2 linked regions of the Stegostoma tigrinum genome follow. The protein of the gene in region 2 binds, or shares a complex with, the protein of the main gene of each other region. Links are inferred from orthologs where the notes say so. Each region holds a gene or a part of one and is shown on either strand. Other genes may lie near its edges.

Region 1 (10,262 bases), on a different chromosome or scaffold from region 2:
CTATTGCCTCTCTTTTACCTTTTAGATATCTAAAAAACTCTTGAAGTCTTTATATTATTTAGTTCGGGTACTCTCATATTTCATCTTATCCCCCCTTATTGCTGATTTAGTTATTCTCTGTTGGTTTTTAAACTCTTCCTACTCCTTGGGCTTCTTACTAATCTCCACCACATCTATGATTTTTCTTTCACTTTTATGCTGTCCCTGAAATCCCTTGTCAGCCATGGTTGCCTCATCTTTCCCCACTAAACTTCTTCTTCCCAAATTACCTCCAAAAACTCTTGCCATTGCTACTCCAGTCTTCCCTGCTAGGCTGCCCTTCCAAACAAGTCTGGCCAGCTCCTCGCTCACGCCTTTCTAGTTATTTTAACTCAATTGTAAAATAATTACATCTGATTCAAGCTTCTCCCTCTCAAACTGCAGGGTGAATTCTATAACATTTTGGTCACTGCCTCCTAGGGGTTCCTTTACCTTAAGCTCCCTCTAACAAAACTGCCTTATTACACATCACGAAATCCAGAATTGCTTGTTCTCTACTGGACTGTACCACAAGCTACTCCAAAGATACACCATCTCATAGACATTCTATAAATTCCTTTCCGCGAGATCTGGTACCAACCTGATTTTCCCAGACCACCTGAATATTGAAATCCCCTATGATTATTGTAATAGTGCCTTTCTTCCATGTATTTTCTATCTCCTGATTCAGTTTCTTCCTCACATCCTGACTACTGTGAGGAGGCCTGTACACAAACTTCATTCAGGCTTTTTTTCCCCCTTTCTGGTTCCTCAGTTTTACCCACATAGATGCTACACATTCTGACACAACATCATTTCTAGCTATCAAGTTAATTTCACTTCTTACTAACAAGACAAGCCTGCCTCTTCTACCCATTTGCCTGTCCTTTCAATAGGTCACGTATCCTTGGTCTTTTAGTTCACAGCATTGATCCCCATGCAGCCACATGTCTGTGATACCCACAACATCGTTGCTGAGCTGCTCACTCTTAAGGAATGCTTTTATCAGCTTTTGTCTAATTTGCAGATTTGACAAACTGAAAAGCTGAGAATTTGAGTTGAAACTTCCGAGCTGTATTTCCACAGCTGTTCATAAGACTATGATGGTTGATGACAGGAAGCCACATCATGCTACATCCTGAAATGAAGCCAGTCTTTCTGTTTACTTGTAGAAAAATTCCTCATCCACTCTTGCAAAGTTAAAGAAGGAAATTGGTTCAGTGGTTTATTCCACCCATGATGGAAACATCAAGCTTGTGCTTGGAGATGATTCTAATACTAAAACCCAATGGATCTATCAGAATCTGTGTAGCTCTTACACAGCTGAGTAAAACAGTTGAACACCAATTTCATTCTAAGTAGTCTGCAGACATGACCTTGAAAAGAATTGGGGAAGAATCCAACGTTCATGAAACACATGCAAAAAATGTGCCCCAAGATGAAGAATCTAAGTTGCTCACATTCCTCATTACTTTGCAAAATTTTGTTTCAAAAGATTAAAAAACAGCATTACATTAGGACCAAAAATCTCAGAGGACAGTGTCAAGATCCTTGAAGGACTGGATAGCACATGGACGGTGTGCTGATCCACAGATCCATACAGACAGAACCTGGCATGAGGCAATAAGTTGCGCTACAACACCTCCAGGAAGCAGAAGTAATAATCAACAGTGAATGTGAAGTCTCACAGCTAATTGTCAATTTCATTCAGCAAATTGTGGTTCAACCTGAAGTTTTAAGTCGATCAATGTTGGAGAGATAGGACAAATCGAGTCTTCAGTCTGTGTAGTCGTACCAAGGTGGTCTTTATTCAAGCTTGTACCAATACTGTGTGGAAGAGGCCTTAGAGTCAAGCTGCAAGACACCTTGCCATTTACAACTCAAAACAACATATTTTTGCCTCACAATGGTTACATGCAACATTGTATAAAATAAACTATGTTAATCCTTTACTGCAAAAACAGGATATATTTTCTTGCAAGGTGCTGAGTCCTGTCATTTCAACAGGACTTCCACTTCTGCATATTCTTCACGAGTTATGTGTCCCCACCATCTGCTCATAGTACCCAACCCTTCCCTTATGATTAATGCATGCCTGACTATCTGAAGCCATACAGATGATCTCTGAACCCGAAGTAACTGCAGGCTGTATTGGGTGATGCTAATGATCTGCATTCTAGAGATCATGTGGCATGACCTTCTTGTTCAACAGAAATAACTGCTGCTGCTTCAGTTAATTGCTAATTGTTCCTTTGTATGGATATATCTCAGCAAACTGCTTATTGCTGCCCACACACCATTGAACTCCAATTGCTATTTCTCGGCCCACTCCCCCTCTGGTGTTGAAATTCTCAACAGCAGGGATGCAAGTTTGAGGCTGGAAGGAGGTTCAGTCATCAGAAATGGCAAGTTAAAGAGACAGGTCAGACTAGGACAGAACAGGGAGCAAGGAATGCCTGTTGGGTTAAATTGCACCTATTTCAATGCAAGAGGGCTGACACGTAAGGCTGATTAACTCAGGGCATGAATATGTGTGTGGGGTTAGGATATTACAGCCATTTCAGAAACATGGCTAAGGGAGGGACAGGACTGGCAACTTAATGTGCTAGGGTGCAGGTGCTTTAGGCAGGACAGAAGTAGAGGAAAGAAGGGAGGGGGAATTGCATTTTTGCTTAAGGACAGTGTCACAGCAGCAGTCAGAGATAAAATAACTGAGGGATCATCCAGAGAGCCTTTGTTGGTGGACCTAATAAATAAGAAGGGAATTGTGACATTATTGGGGCTATACTGGAGGCCTCCAAATAGTCAATGGGAATTAGACGAACAAATAAGTAGGGAGACTGGGGAGATTTACAGGAGCAACAGGGTTGTCATAGTGGGGAATTTTGATTTTCCTTACATAGATTGGACTGCCATAGCGTTATGGGCTCAGATGGGGTGGAATTTGTTAAGTGTGTTCAGGAAAGTTTCCTCAAGCAGTATATAGAGGGTCCTACTCAGAAAGGGGAAAAAGTCGAACTACTCTTGGGAAATAGGGCAGGACAAGTAACTTAAGGTGACAGTAAGGGAGCACTTTGGAACCAGTGACCATAGTTCTATTAATTTTAAAATAGTTTTGGAGAGGGACAAAACTGGTCCACAGTTCAAGTCTGAAATTGGGACAAGGCAAATTTTGACGGAATTAGACAGCAGCTTTCAGGGCTTGATTGGAGTGGTTAGTTTGCAGACAAAGGGACCTCCGGCAAGTGGGAGGCCTTTACAAATGTGATAGCTAAAGTATGGCTTAAGAAAAACAATAACATTCAAGTTTCACTTCTGAGCAATCTTTCTTTCACTTAGTCCTAAAATGATTTAGTTCCATATGAATTCCTCATGGGAAGAGGACTGAGAACTCACTCCATACTCTTTCACATATACTCACGCTGCATAAACAAGATTGTGCTTGAAAAATGTGATGGAGAAAGAAGATGAATACTTCTCTAGTCAGATGTGGAACAACAATAGATATCACAAAGCACTGAACCAACCAGACCTCTAAACAGGACAGCCAGTTTGGATTTGAGACCAAACTTGTTAACAAGTGGTGAAACAGACACCACATCCACTGTCCTACCTCACTGAAACTGAAAATGGAATGGTTCATGAGAACAGATGTGCGCTCATTTCGACACACAAGCAGTCTTCTACACAAAGAAGTCATCAACAGTCAAATGTTGCCTTCATCAACATGACCAGACTTCTTTTATTTTAAAAACATACTTTATTCATAAAAAGTCATCTAAAAGTACATACAAAGATTCTAAACCAGTTCTGTCTTTGCAGAGAAAAAAAACAAATAAAAGTGGAATTTTGACATTTATCAGCGCTACCTTACAGTTGTAAACACATTTTCTTTTTGTGCAGGATACTACTTACGTTCATTCTGAGGCAATGAGAGGGTCTGACAACTAATCGGACGACCGTTATACTTCGGCAGGAAGACCTTAAATGGTAATCTTTCCCCAGTGCATCTTGGTGGTATCTGCCCAAAGCTTTAGTGTATCCGTCAGCATGTAGCCCTGGACCTTGAAATGTACCAATCTGCAACACTCAGTCAATGTCAACTCTTGACTCGAGAAGACCAACAAGTTTCAGGCAGACGAAAGAAAGTCAGTGAGTTGATGATCCTCCAGGCGTGGTCAATGTTTCTCTCAGTGTACATCCCCGGGACCAGCCTATAGACCACAGAGTCCGGCATCATGGAGCTGTTCAGGGCAGACCTTGACAAAAACTACTGCATCTTTCTTTGGTAACAAGTTGTACAGCTGGATGAACACAGCAGGACAAGCAGCATCAGAGAAGCAGGAAAGCTGATGTTTCGGGCCAAGACCCTTCTTCAGAAATGGGGGAGGGGAAGAGGGTTTTGAAATAAATAGGGAGGGGGAGGCAGATAGAAGAAGGATAGAGGAGAAGATAGGTGGAGAGGAGACACACAGGTCAAAGAGGTGGGGATGGAGCCAATAAAGGTGAGTGTAGGTGGGGAGGTAGGAAGGAGATAGGTCAGTCCACAGAGGACAGACAGGTCAAGGGGGTGGGATGAGGTTAGTAGGTAGGAGATGGGGGTGGGGCTTGAGGTGGAAGGAAGGACAGGTTAGGGAAGCAGGGACGAGCTGAGCTGGTTTTGGGATGCGATGGGGGGGAGGAGAGATTTTGAAGCTTGTGAAGTCCACATTGATACCATTGGGCTGCAGGGTTCCCAAGCGGAATATGAGGTGCTACCTCCCCACCGACACTTACCTTTACTGGCTCCATCCCCACCTCTTTGACCGGTCTGACTCCTCTCCACCTAACTTCTCCTCTATCCATCTTCTATTCGCCTCTCCATGTCTTCCTATTTGTTTCAGCGCCCCCTTCCCCTCCCCCATTTCTGAAGAAGGGTCTAGGCCTGAAATGTCAGCTTTCCTGCTCCTAAGATGCTGCTTGGCCTGCCGTGTTCATCCAGCTCTACACCTTGTTATCTCTATGTTTACATACATTTGAGAAAAGGCGGCTTGATTGTTAAATTGGAGCCATCTGTCAACTCTCTTCCTGGCCAGCAGAGTCTGACACACCAGACAGAGGACTTGAATCGATCAGATCAACAGGTGAACCTGCCATTAAAGTGGTTGTCCCTGTAAAAAAAAAGAGTTTAAAATCAGAGGCTGTGACAAGATCGATTACAAAAGGTAAAATCAGAAAGTTGGGGAGTTGTAGCATTAGGGCTTAATTCTGATGATAGTATGCTAATGAGACAATGTACATGCTTACAGAAAGTGATGCAACATCACACAATCATGCACTCTTACAGCCTTCTGGTACGGTGAAGCCACAGTGACAAGTTTCTTAAGTACAGTTAATGTTTTCCTTAACCTCAGCAAACTTTGTAATTATTCTTCAGCAGCAGAGCATGGCCAAGAATATGAAAGAATCCACAATTTTCTAACTTAAAAGTGGGAGTGTTACCGAAGCATTGTTCATATCAAACTAACTTGATGTCATTATGCTGTAATTTTCTTGTATTCTCACATGTTTTAAGATGAAAAGATCAAAAGGAATTACAAGCTGTCTAGAAAGAAATGGTGGGAGCTGATCTTAACGTGCGGAAGTTATTTGCTCAGCAGTAGAAATGGCAACATTTCCAAAGCTCAGCTACCGACAAACTGTTTAGCTGATTTAGAAAATACACTGAATTGCTTATCTCCAAGTCTTTGTCAACATTTGTACTGATTATATTAACATTTCAGATAAACTAGATTTTAGTAAGTTTGTTAAGGGTAAAGGTCACCATTCTCACAACTGAACCAATGACAGACACAGATCATTTTTCAGATAGAATATAAAAATGACTGATACGAGAAAAGTAGGAGTCTTTGAATTCTATTGTCACTACAACAGGTAATTGATCTGTAATGGTTTGTCATAAATGTTATAATGTAGCTATAGCATATTAATTCTGAGTAACTAGAAAGAAAGAGTAATCTGAAATTTAAGCAAGGCAGTTAGAAAAAAATATACAAAAATGATTGAAAGTTAGGTGATTTGTAGATGGCGCTTTTATTACACAATTCAGTGGAATTTTTTTGCTCTTGTCCATCTTTACTTTTAGAATTGTGTACTCTGTATTCTCAGTAAAATATTCATAATAATTAAAATGATATTGACATTTAAGTTGAAAACAGAGAGACATGTGAAACTGAGGACAGAAAATTGATAACATTTATTGAAAATAAATTGCAAGAATTTCTAATATTCTGTTCAAGTTGTTTGCCATAATAATCATAGCCTATCAATGCTGCAAATGAAAGTTATAGAAATGCATTAGTTCTGATCTCAGGTACAGTCATAAAATTGCAGTTTATTGCAGTTCTAAAGGAGTTGCTGAATTATCATTAAATGCTCCAGAAAGTGATCCTATTTTTTCTTGAATTGACAGTAACTCAAATTTGTGAAATCTGAGATGTAAATAAAAGTGACTGCAGTTTATGCTTGGTATGGATGTAATTTAAAATTTACAGTCTGATATTCTAAAAATGAGATACTGTGTTTATTAACATGTATAATATATAATTGTTTTCATTCTTGTCCATTAGTTTTTGTATAATTGGAGCTTTAAAAGGAGCTAGGCATTGTTTATAACATCAAATGGTTTTGCTGTATTGTTTGTAGCTTTTTCCAAAGAATAGCAGGATAATGTAATTCAAACACGACAGATTCCTAATTCCTACAGCACTTCTTTTATAAAAGGCGAAAGACCTTTGTCAGACTTGGTTGCTTAATGAAAGTCAGGATATATAGTTCATTTGTATTAGCAAGCTGCCACAAGTGGAGTATTGCAAGATAAACTTCAATTATTTATGATCTATATTAATGGTTTGCATAAACTGACTGTTGTGTAGTCAAATTTATAGATGACACAAAGAGCAAAGAGATATGAATTGATATGTGATATATGACAGCTGGTGTATAATGTGGGAAAAATACAAGCTTGTCCATTTTGACAGAATAGAAAAGTACGATACTTGAGTGCAGAATGATCTGGTGTGGAGAGATTTAGGTGCCCATGTACATAATTCACAAAATGTTAGCAGGCAGATATAGCAAGTAGTTAGGAGGGCAAGCAAAATGTTGGCTTTTATTACAAGGGGGATGTTTTATAAAATTAAGCAAGTCTTACTACAACTATACAGGGCAGTAGTAAGACCTCACCTAGTATATGCAATTTTTCTTCTTGTTACTTGAAAGTATTTCAGAGACAGGTTCACTCGACTGAATCCTGATAAGGTTTGTCTTACAATGAAAGGCTGAGTAGGTTTAGGTCCATGGAGTCATAGAGTTGTACAGCATGGAAACAAACTCTTCAGTCCAACCAGTCCATGCCAACCATTATCCCAAACTCACCTAGTCCCACCTACCTGCCCTTGGCCCATATCCCTTCAAACATTTCTTGTTTGTGTACTTATCTAAATGTCTTTTAAATGTTTAACTATACCTGTATCCACCACTTTCTTTGAAAGTTCATTTCAGACATTAACCACTCTGTGTAAAAAAAAGTTGACTTTTTTAAAATCTTTCTCCTGTCACTTTAAAAATATTCCCCCAGTCTTAACATTCCCCACCCTAGGGAAAAGACCTGCCATTCATAGGCTTCAAAGAATTATATTACTGAATCCTTAAGTCTCTCTGTTCTACAACCCTCTCCGAGGCCCTACTACTAATTGTATAAGTCCTGCCGTGGTTTGTATGACCAAAATGCAGTACCTCACAGTTATCCAAATTAAACTCCATCTGGCAGTCATTGACCCAATTGATTAAGATCTCTTTGTAATCCTAGATGACCTCTTCACTGTCCACTAAACCACCGATTTTGGTGTCAGACACAAACTTACAAACCATTCCTCCTAAATTCTCATCTAAATTATTTATACAAGTGACAAACAAATGTAGAACATTTATTGTAATTTGTAAGAATGAGAGGGATCTTATTGAAACATATAAGATCCAGAAGGAGGTTGACAGAGTGGTGCTGAGACGATGTTTATTCTTGTGGGGGAATCTCAGACTGGGAGCACAATTTAAAAACAATGGCATTTGTACTTAAGATGGAAAATAGAAATTTTCTATGTCAGGGTCAGTTGTATTTAGAATTCTCTTTCACAAAGCAGTGGAGGCTAGGTAATTGACTACATTCAAGGCTGAGTTAGACAAATTTTTGATTGACATGGGAGTCTGGGATCACTGGGGGCAAGCAGGAAATGTAATTAAGGATGCAATCAGGTCAGCCATGGCTTTATCATAATAGCAGAGCACGCTCAGTGAGCTGAATGTGGTGTTCCAATTTCTTCTGGTCTCACGAGTAGGAATTAGAATTTTTGCCTACCTTCTCACTCATAGAAGGATGTGGAAAAAAAGCAAAATGACCAAAAATGGAGAGAAAAAATTCTTTTGCTAGGTAAATTACTTCTGTTATAATTCCCCAAACATGTAATTTAACATCAAAAAGATTTGATGATCTTCTTCCTTATCTTGAAATCCCAACCTTATTAAAATGTATAGAAATAATCCCTGGATAACTGGTATATTTGTTGATTGTAACTTTAGTCGTCCGGGCTCTGTGATCCTCTGTCAGTTATCACATTGTACTTTCTTTGTTTCTGATTTTGTCACACAACCTCAGTCTTTGCATGCTGTGTTTCTGGCTGACATTTTGTTGCAGCTTTGTTCTCGCTTTCTTTTCACAATATCTATCTTCTGCACCCTGTCTATCGCTTTACATTTTTATTCCACTCTAACATTCTGCATGTTGTCTCCAATAATTTGTTTTTCTTCCATTCTGTTGAGCCTTTCTCTTTTTTTCCCTTTTCTGTAATACCTCTCTACATGTTTTTCCTGCTTTCAATGTGTTTGCATTTCTCCCTTAGTTTGCTGTTTGTTTTTCCTTCTGTATGTTGTTTATTTTTACTCTGTATTTGTGGCATATTTGTGGATTTTCCTGTTTCAGTGCATTCAGTACTGAATTTTTCTGAGCATTTCTTTCTGGATTAAAAATGAAAGAAGTGATGACTGTTCTCCAAAAAGCTGACAAATACCTTATATATTTAAATCACCAAGGTGTTAGAATATGTTAGAAACTGACCTCAGACAAGGGATGTGATAAGAACATTTATACATTCAATAAAGTATTTTGCAGTCATAGCAAATGCACAAAATGGGTTAGTTTAATAACCACTATAATCATGTATGTTTGACTATTATTGATTCACTTCTCTAGCTATTACACAATAAATGCATACATTTGTTAAAAGTCTGGATCAAGATGATAGCTTTGACGGGAGGAAGGTCCCATGGAAGCACAGAATAGATCAAGCATCTGAACGTGATTACAAAGAGGTTTTCTATTCATCATCTTGGACCAAAATTGAAAACTTATGTTGGTTAAAAATGTACTGTAGAGATCTCAGGAAACTATGGCTTTTCTGATGAGGGTAACCTCATAATAAAGAAACAAAGGACTCCAGATTTAGTATCCAGCAACCTAAAAAGAATACATTACAATTCCAGAGATAATGGGAACTGCAGATCACAATTCCACATCTGTTTTGCTTTCTTTTGCAGGTTGAAAACAAATGGCCATGCAGATCACATTTCTAACTATTTCTGTTGCAACATTCCTACTGGCAGTTCCTTGCTATGGAGACAGCTGTATATCAGGAATAAATCACAAAGCAGTGCCTGGTCCTGAACCAGGCATGAGGGAGTGCAAACTGTATTCTCAATGTAAGTTAAGGTGACTAATCCAAAGCCAAATCATAGTTTTAACAGTCATGTGATTTTTTTGGGGGGGGAAGAAAAGACAAACATCAAGTTCATTAAAAAGTAAAGAACCAAAGGAGATCAATCAGCCAGTCAATCTGGGACTTTGTTGAATATCTATCCAATTCTCCCATATTGCTCAACAGGATAACGCGTTGGCAATTTAGGATTAAGACAAGAAAGAATTTCTTCACTCAGACGGTTGAGAATCTTTGGAATTCTGTGCCTCGAATGTGCATGGATACTCCATTGATAAGTTCAGTTCACTATAAGTAATAATGCTCTAATCAGAGAAGAACATAGGACGAGGGCAGGAAAATACAGTTGAGGTATAAGTTCAGTTATGATTTTATCAAATGGCAGAGCAGACTTGGTTAGACAGTACTGCCCACCTTTGCGCCATTTCTTATGTGATT
Region 2 (9,482 bases):
TCTATGTCACTGCCTGATGAACAAAGGAATCTTAAGGAAACAATCTTTTTTTGAAAAACAAGCTGATTAAGCAAAGAAATCATACCGTAGAACTTCAGATAATTTGTCAATTGCTGTAACATGCACAAGCTACAAAGCATACCAAATGTTAAGTTCACATATATACAAACTTTCTTCCGAAACGATAACACATGCTCGAGTTGAGTTACATTTATAGACTCATAACTTTATCTCCTACTTCTGGCTTTCTCTCAACGTCTTGACATTTTTCATTGCCAATGTCTCAATTTTGCATTGCCTTATGTAAATGCCAATAAAATTGCTTGTAATCATGGACTCTCTGAAAATTACACATTACACTATAGAAACAGACGTTCAAATGCTGAATTACCATAGATGCTGTGACACATCCAAAAAGTGGTAATACAGCATCTCAATCTGCTTCATATACAATTAATCACTTCCTACAATGTAACAAAATGCAGTGACTTTTGTGGAAAATGATTGCCGTTTAGCTATATAACAAGATCTCAGTAACAGCGATGGATAAATGAACAATTAACTTTCTTAGTATCGGCACTGTTCCAAGATTATTAGTCAGTAAACTTGGTGTAAAGGAGAGGGGTTTGGGCATCAGAATTATGCACATAGTATTTAGTGTTTCATTCAAAGGATAAGACCTCCAACAATGCAGTTCTCACTTTGAGTACAGTGAAATGTCAACTTACGATTTTGTATACCGACCCTACAGTAGAACTTCAATCTATAAACAATCTGCCTCAGAAGCAAGACTGATAGCTACAGAGCCAGAATGTCTCAAAACTGATTAATCAGAACTGAATAATATATTCTACACCTTGCACTTACATATGGCCTTTAACAAAATAAAATATCCCATATCACTTTTACCACTAGCGCACAGCAAGTCTTATTTCTCATCTGACCAGTGTTAGAATGTCCTCGACAGATGACAACCAACAATGGCTGAATTGCATGATTTAAGTGAAACCCATTGCACCATGTAATCTAAGCTCTCACAGCAAAAATTTTAAGCACATTAATGTCTCCCAAAATGGGTATAATATGGATTTCAACTTATTAATGTATGCAATACAAAGTAAATATTGCAAATGTGATTTAACAGTAACTACTGCACTGCTGTTTCCTTTCAATATTACTCATTCAAGGTTACCAGCTTTTATTTCATTTTTGTCCCGATTCTACATCCCCACTCATTCCAAACATGAAGGCACAAAACCAAAATTACATTTGATTCAAAACCAAAAAACCTGTAATATTTGAAATATGAGCTTTAAAATTTCACCGAATCTCAAATTAAGGGTCAACAATAAAATGTATAAAATGTGTGCGCTTTGCAAGAGAACTGGCTGGGGCAGGTAAGATGCGTCACAAAGCACTGAACAAATATGCAGAATTTTCTTTTAATTAAGCCACCTATCCTCTATACTCAAATCTGAATTAAGCATACATTAATGTCTTTGTTTTGTTTCGTTTTTCTGAGTCAAGTTTCAAAATACTTCCCAAATGTTAGGTTTTCAACTTATATTTATAAACCAGCATGTAATAAAGCTGAATCATAAATATACTGCATGAAACTCAAACAACTTGTAAAGTTCATCACATATAAAGCAGCCATACTGTATTCAAGCAGCACTGAGTGACTAACATCATGCATTTTTAAAATATTCTCCCATCCAGTAGATCTGAGACACATAGGTTTCTTTCAAGCTCTGTCATAATTAACCTAAAGCATTAACAGTCAAGTACTAATGAATATCATTCCTGAACGCTATGTTGCTATTATTTACAAAATAGTATTACCCTAGTGGCTCTGCCTCAAGATATTCAACCAAAGTTATGCAAATATCTAGCATATATATACTGCAAAGCTTTACACCTGAGCAAAGGAAACTGTGAAAATAGGCAAAATTGATTAACCAAAACGTCAACACAAACGTACCAACCAGTGGAAAAAAAATTCAAGTTATATCAACACACAAATTGGATTCTGGATCGTGAATGAATAATTCCTGCCTCATCCAAAGACAGTACAATCCAATTTAGCCTAATGCGCATAATGGGCATTCAAGTCTACTGAGTTGCAAGTCACATTCCTCAAACAGAAGTTTCAGTACTTTTTTCCCTTTAAATATCAAACCATTTCACAAAATACAAAACTGCAGTTTATTCTAATCTAGTGAAAATTTAGACGCTATTTCAAGTCGTAGCAGTGCACAAGATCATTGCGTCTTGTAATTTAAACTGATGCACCATGACATCACCACCATAAACTGCTTGTTACAGTATTCCTATTGCATGTTACTGTATTCCTTCCTTCTATTAAAACTGCTAAACTAGAAGGCCAGCGGTATTATAGCAAGATCAGCAAAATTACGAGACACTAGATCCATTCAAGTCAAGCAAAGACAACTTCAAATGACTCCTAAAATCATTGTCAGTGACGATATATGTATCAAAGGCAAAATGCTACGAGCTCTCAACTGCACCTACAGAGTCTACTGCTCAAGTCAGGGACATCTGCTTCACTGTGCACAAAGTAAAAATTAAACTCCTGAACACTAGTGATTTACAATAGCAGCAACGTGAATTAACGATACTCATCCATGCAAAATGATTATTTTTATTATCGCAAGCTCGTGCAAAACTACTGAACGTAAAACGTACACTTTAAAATTGTTCAACAGATATTAAACATTTTAGCCAAAGACAAAATTAACTTCATCCATTCTAATCTAGGCCAAGACCTAACGCACTCTGTGCAGTACGTATGCCCCCCTGCAGAGGCTACGCATGGCAGCTCTAGATCTGCACAATAGGTATTTCAGTACCACAAAGCAATGTATATAATGACATTACACATTCAACTTATAATGCAAGGCCTGTACACCTAATTACTCATATTTTAAAGAAAAACAAACAAAAAGGAACTCACCCAATATTTTAATACAGTCACTTGCAAGTTACTCAATTTAACTGTACTCCAGCACTGAATAGGACCAATTTGTTAAAATTGTGTAATTTCCCTCAGTTTCTGCAAGAGTGACGGCAGGGTCTCCCCTCCCTTATCTAATACGAAGTAAAGGGAGTGCATCGATTTTTTTTTGCACGTCTCCATTCAAACCTTGATTCAGTAAGGCAAGAATAAAGACGCAATATTTGAAACCACCTTCCTCAACAAACCCCAACCTCCCACCCAAACCCCTCCTTATGAAAAGAAAAATGGATACATGTCAAGTCCAAGTCGAATCCGTCTTCCTGGTATCTTCTCTTGTTCCTGCTGACAAGTTCTTTGATTCTCGAAGCCATGCCTGGTTGAAGGAAGAGGAGGTGGTGGAGGTGGAGGATGTGGAAATGGGTTTGTTGGCACCTTCTGGATTGCTGTCACACAGGGGCCTAACACCCAGCTCCACAACATACACACGCACTCTCTCTCTCTCCCAATCTGCCTCTCGCCTTTCCCCCCCGGCTCCGTTAATATCCTCCGCAGGAGTAAGGGAGGTTGGGGGGTGGTGGATTTGCTCCGGTTTCTTCAGATGACCATCAAAGGAGGAGGAAAACGGGGGGTGGGGGTGGGAGAGAGGGGGTAAAAAGTAAAACCCTTTAGCGGGAAGAGGAATTGGTGGGGCAACGGGGGAAGACGGTGGCCACATTCACCGCCTCTTGCTACGATTTTTCCTCCACGATCGCCTCCACCGCCGCCGCCGCCGTTACCGTCGGTCGGGGGGTGGGGGGAAAGGGGGGGGCTGATAGGCAGGGAAATGGAGGGAGGAAAAAATCTCAATGCCTTCGCTTAAAAGAAAGGGATCTTTTTTTAAAAAATCCAAAGAAGTCGATTCCTTTACCCCTCCGCTGTCAATAAATTACGCGTTTTAAAAAATACATCCGTGGCTGCTCTCCTTGCGCTCCGTCAGAAATAATAATCCACACACTCCGGGATCCTGATCCACTCCGTGTTAAAAAATTATAAGCATTATTTTTCAGAAAAAAAGTCAGCAGGAAGCCGAGCTTCCCCTCCAGCACACGCACACTTGCTCTTCTTTCTTTTTTTCCTCTTTCTTTCCTTCCTTTTTCTTTCTCGGCCGATCGCTCTGGCCCCGGCCCTGGCCACGGCTCCAGCTCCCGTCCCGGCCACAGCACCGACTCCAGCTTCTTCCCCCCCCCTCCCCCACCAAGGCTGCTGCTGGGGCCACCGCCGGACTCTCAAACTTCCATGATGGCTTCCCAGGGAAAAAAAGCGCAATGGCCCCGAGTGGGAATGAGAGAGAGAGAGAGAGACCGAGAGAGAGAGAGAGAGAAGGGGGAGGGGGGAGAGGAGGAGGAGAGAGAGCGTGTAACACTCCGCCCTTTGGATATAGTCCCCGCTTTCACTCTTCTCCCCGCTCACCAATTAAATCTCCTCAGTCGCCCTTCCAAGCACTGCCCTGGGATTGACTTGTACCCTTTTCCAGGCCAGCCGTTGGATTTCGGGACCGGCTGTTGTGTCAGGGTTGAGAGTATGTAGTGGCATGTTGGGGGAGGGGGGTGTAGGTTCGAATACGAAGTGAATTAAATCAGTATTACAACATTGGTGCTGGCGATCTCGCAGCGGCGTGAGAAGGACGTGCTGGCACTATTTGCGCAGTCACGTGTCCGCTGCGATGATTTTTTTTTCTCTCTCCTGTCGCTCCTGAACAGTGGTGGAGGAGGGCGGGGGGTGGTACGGCTCCCAGGGGAAGGGGGCGTGGCCAGTAGAGCGCGAGTTGCGGCCGTTGAACGGCCGAGTCTCCAGGTTACTTACCCCGAAGGCGAACAGCGGAAGCGCCCCCTTCTCTACCCTCACTCCCATTGACCGAGTACAGCCTCACGGGTCCCCGCTACCAAAAATGCCCGGGCTATCCGGGGAGAAAAGAACCAGATCGTGCAGAACGTACGGGGAGGATTTGGCTGGAACCCGACGCTCATTGATCTGTTTATTCATGGAATGATGAACCAAGTGACTTGGAGGGTTTTTTCCGGGCTGTGTGGAGGGGGAAAGTCTCTCTCTCTTTCGCTCTCTGTCTTTCGCCATCTTGGTAAAGGAGCAACCTGCTTGCGCATGTGTTACAAACTCTCGCTCTCCGCCTTTCGGGCCGGTTTTATCCATTGGATTTTGATCAACTGATATCGTTGCGTGGAATCCATTACTGAGGAATACGGTCGTTTCCCCCACCCCGTGCTGCCCATACTTTGGGAATCGCTGTCTCTCTGGGATTTCCGGTGACAGTGCACCCTGATGTTGAGCCTTAGAGCACTTTGGGACTGTCTTGGACTGAGCTTGGAAGTAAAACCACAGTTTCTGAACGAGATGGCAACTGTGCGGGAATAGTCTTTTCCATACCGCTGCCTTGGCAATTACAGGTGGTGTCTCAGACACTTCTGAAATCCTCACTGTTTATTCCAATTATTTTATGGATCTTATTCGTAGATTTGTGTATGCATGTATGTTGGTTATCGATAGAATATTGTAATTTGGGAGCTCGTGGGACATCGGGCTGTTTCCCCGCCGCAGATATGTGGAGTCAAGACATTAAGGGGAAATACCTATATCTTTCATCACATGAAGGTTGGAGATAGTGTTCTATTATGACTGACAAAGTACTTTTGAAATATTAGACAATGTAGTCTACCATTAAGTATTTTAATAAATATTAATTGAAGACTAAGATGTATAAGCCAAATTTGATATTTGACAATAAACTAGAAATAGCTTGTACAACGGTATGGATGATTTTAATTAATGTCTACTGTCTTTGTGGACAAATTATTTTAGTTCAGATCAGCTTTGTTAAGTTGCAATTGTATAGTTTTATTTAAATTTTATGTAATAGTCGTTGTGGTTGAAAAGAAGGGAGCAGACAATATATAATCAATGGCTTTGTTTTTGTAACGTGCACGTTCATTGGAGTGTAAATCTGAGCAGAAGTATCCTTCACAATCTAGCGAGTGTCAATCATTGATAATGGGAACTGCAGATGCTGGAGAATTCCAAGATAATAAAATGTGAGGCTGGATGAACACAGCAGGCCAAGCAGCATCTCAGGAGCACAATCATTGATGTTGGATATTCTAATTCTTCACAAACCAATGGAATATCTTTCTATAGCTAGGGATGTGATACCAGTTTTTCTTTTGCCAAATGCAGCAGACATCTTTCTTGAGGAGGAAGAGAGACATTCATTTTAAATGAATTAATGATTTTATAAACATTCTGAACAATTGATTGGAGTGTGGTCTGACCTAGGATTTATGATTTATGCAAATTAATATTGTCTATATTAGTGTTTGGATTTTGGACTAGTTGTGCGCAGATCTTGGTCTGTTATAAGGGGTTTAATAATTATCTTGTCAGTTTTCTGAAGTCATTTTCTCTTCACATGGAGTCTTCAGTGTATTTACCATGTTTTCCTAGCTTCTATCAGTTTCGAAGAAGGTCTGCGGACTCAAAATGTTAATTTCGCTGTCTGTCTACAGATAATACCAGACAAGCTGTGTTTCTCCAGAAATTTCTGTTTGTTTCAGATTTCCAGCAACTGCAGTTCTGTTTTACTTCTGGAGCCATGATTTTTTTTCGACCAGTTATGACAGAGAGCAGCCTCTTGGAGTGCTAATGAGCATTTGTTTCTATTGTGAGAATTTTAGGATTGGACACAGTAAACGTTGAAAGGCTTTGGCTTTGACTCAGAAGAATCAAGATTCTTTTTTCCCCCTAGCTTGGAGAAAATCTATGAATTGTAAACCTTTTGGTTTTAGTTGACAGAAGTCCTAGTTGAAGTTAGATGTGTGAACAGTCTTTCCTGGAGTAAGGAGATAATTCAGAAGAGTTAGGAAGTAGATTATCTCAGTGTCAGGGTTTTAGTTTGAAATTCCATATTTAAAATATTTAATTAGAAGCATGAAGGGTTTATTTGAAGCTGAAAACTAGGCTCAGATGTGTTATTAATCAAGGGAGAGGTAATACAATTCACAAAACCAGGAATTGGGGGGAAAAAAACAGTTAATTTAAACCTTTAGATGTGAGAGAGAGAGAAAGAAACCTTAGGTGTCTGGATAAATGGGCTTGTATTTTTACTGTTTCAATCTTTTAAAATTGTGTTATGTGTAAATAGCTTAGAATCATACAGTACAGAGCTTAGTTTTTTTCTATTTTATTTTAGCTTCATTTCTGTTGCATAATGAACTTCTGTTTTATTGTTAAAATAAATTCTGCAGTGTTTCCTGCTTGTGTTTCAATGAAAGGTGACCATGTTAATTTAAAGAAAAATGTATGATCTTTCAAATCAGGTTTCAACCTGGGATCTGATTTATCCAGTAGCAATATTAACTGGTATAATGGCAATGCATTGAGAAACTGTTTAAGCAAGATGATAAACTTTTCCACACCTGTAGTTGCAAGTTAAGTTAATTTAAATTCTGGTGCCATTTTACCGAATGCTTTAACTATGAAATGATGGAAACTTCACTGTGGAGTGAAAATCAGTCAAGTTTTGGTTCAATGACTTTTGTGTTCTGATGCTCAGATAAAGTTAACCTAAGCAAATTCCTTTTTTTAATTTGTCATGTTGTAATAAGATCTCTCCCTGGTTAAATCTGAATACAGCTGTCTTGTATGGCTCCCATTTCTTTCAACCATGACACTGCTTTTGATCCTCACTGAAAACTGTCCAGCTGCAAACACACACAAAAGCCACAGTTTCTTTGGACTTCTGACCACACTCGTCCGTTCACTAAGTCTCAACCTTAACCATTCAGTATCATCTCTTCGTCCATGCACGTCACACTCAACAACCCCTTGCCATCAATTTGGCGAATACCAAAGCTTTACGTCCTCTGCTGTAGTACTTTTTTGAAAACTCACCTTCCAAAACGCTACAAAAATCCAGGACCTATTTGTTATCCCACATCTGGCTTCCTAAATTTAATACTACCTGCAAACTGTGCTCAGTACTTTTCCACGCATGGGGCGCTAGTGGACCCCAAATGTCCTTCCGTACTGTGCATTTTACAGTGATCCAAGTCCATTTTATTTCTCATGTCCCTTTGCTCCCAAAGCCCATCTATTATACTTCCACATTGTAAACCTTAGATGACCCACAAGTACATTATTCTCCATTGCCACTTGCAAGAAACAAACCCACAATCTCCTTCCGTTGTCTTTTTTAATGTTCACTTGTGGGATGTGGAAGTCACTCGTTGGGCCAGCGTTTCTTGCCTAGCACTAGTTGCCCTTAAGAAGGTAGGGGTGAGCTGCTTTCCTGAACCACTCTACTCCTTGAAGTTTAGGTACCCCTGCAGTGACATTAGGAAAGGGATTTCAAAGATTTGGAACCAGTAACTGTGAAGCAATGGCAAAATATTTCTGAGTCCAAATGATATGCTTGGAGGTGAACTTGCAGGTGGTGATGTTTCCATGCATCTGCTGCCCTTGTCCTTCTGGATAATAGTGGTGTGAATTTGGAAGGTGTTGTCAGGGAATCATTGGTAAGTTGCCACAAATTCTCTTGTAGATCTTATGCACTGCTGCTATTGTGTTAGTGGCAAAGGAAGCGAATATTGAAAATAGTGGTTAGGATGCCAATCAAGCTGACTGTTTTGTCCTGCTGATGTCAGCTTCTTAAGTTTTGATGGCACTGCACTTGTTCAGGTAAATGAAGCTATTTCCACTCTACTCCTGACTTGTGCTTCATAGATGACAGATAAGCATTGAGTTGACAGGAAGTGAGTTAACCTTGTAGAATTCCGAGTCTTTGACCTGCAGCTGTCACCAGAGTACTTATATGGCTGGCCCAGTTCAGATTCTGGTTAATGGTAACCTCAAGATGTTAATAATGAGGAGGAATTCGGTGACCAGAATGTCATTGAATGTAGTGAGGTAATGGTTCAATTCTGTTGTTGGAGCTGGTCATTGCTTGTGTGACATGAAAGTTAATTGCCTCTTAGCCCAAGCCTGAATGTTCTCCAAGTCTTCTTCTTCCAGTTTGATAGGTGTTTAAAAGTCCCCATTGACACAACATCCGGTAAATCGGTTTTACTTGTGATTTACAGCTAGCTCCCAAAAAATTAGCATTTCCGACGTGTTCTGTCAGTGAATAGAACTATTCCCAGGATTCTAGTTGCTCCTGGTCGACTTAGCTGTTTTATTTTCTTTCAACATGAGTTTGTTCAGATATGTTATGATACATCTCCGTGGCAGACAGGACTTGAACCTGGACCTTTCAAATCCAGAGGTACTGCTGCAAGATCGCTTTAATTCAGCTGCTAATATGCCAGCAAAAAGTAATTTAATTCCTCCCTTTCAAAATTGTCTTTTGGCTCATAAACTCACCACCTTGCTCTTGACTGGATAGTCAACATTGGGAATCATCAATATGGGAGAAGACTCAAACACCATGTCTCTAATGATTTTGAAGAAAATAGTCATTGGA

What was found. Proteins that work in one complex are often made in the same cells at the same time.
Region 1: the proteins of ptenb (region 2) and mast2 are in contact, whole or in part, in an NMR structure (PDB 2KYL), measured with the Homo sapiens proteins. The link is inferred for Stegostoma tigrinum from reciprocal best matches to the Homo sapiens genes PTEN and MAST2. Residues at the interface, in NP_000305.3 of Homo sapiens: Pro391, Phe392, Asp393, Glu394, Asp395, Gln396, His397, Thr398, Gln399, Ile400, Thr401, Lys402, Val403; in NP_055927.2 of Homo sapiens: Lys1112, Lys1113, Tyr1114, Gly1115, Phe1116, Thr1117, Leu1118, Arg1119, Ala1120, Ile1121, Arg1122, Val1123, Tyr1124, Met1136, Trp1138, Glu1141, His1170, Val1174, Ile1177, Leu1178, Leu1191.

Annotation. Positions count from the first base shown.
Region 1 is NC_081361.1:67,541,533-67,551,794, forward strand, and holds the start of mast2 (microtubule-associated serine/threonine-protein kinase 2), read right to left. Parts: upstream 4,381-10,262; 5' UTR 3,934-4,380; intron 1-3,933. Other genes in the region: riboflavin-binding protein, read left to right, coding at 9,660-9,810. UniProt on the Homo sapiens protein: Appears to link the dystrophin/utrophin network with microtubule filaments via the syntrophins. Phosphorylation of DMD or UTRN may modulate their affinities for associated proteins. Functions in a multi-protein complex in spermatid maturation.
Region 2 is NC_081373.1:46,075,614-46,085,095, forward strand, and holds the start of ptenb (phosphatidylinositol 3,4,5-trisphosphate 3-phosphatase and dual-specificity protein phosphatase PTEN), read right to left. Parts: upstream 4,601-9,482; 5' UTR 3,349-4,600; coding exon 3,270-3,348; intron 1-3,269. Other genes in the region: atad1b (outer mitochondrial transmembrane helix translocase), read left to right, coding at 5,494-5,623. UniProt on the Homo sapiens protein: Dual-specificity protein phosphatase, dephosphorylating tyrosine-, serine- and threonine-phosphorylated proteins.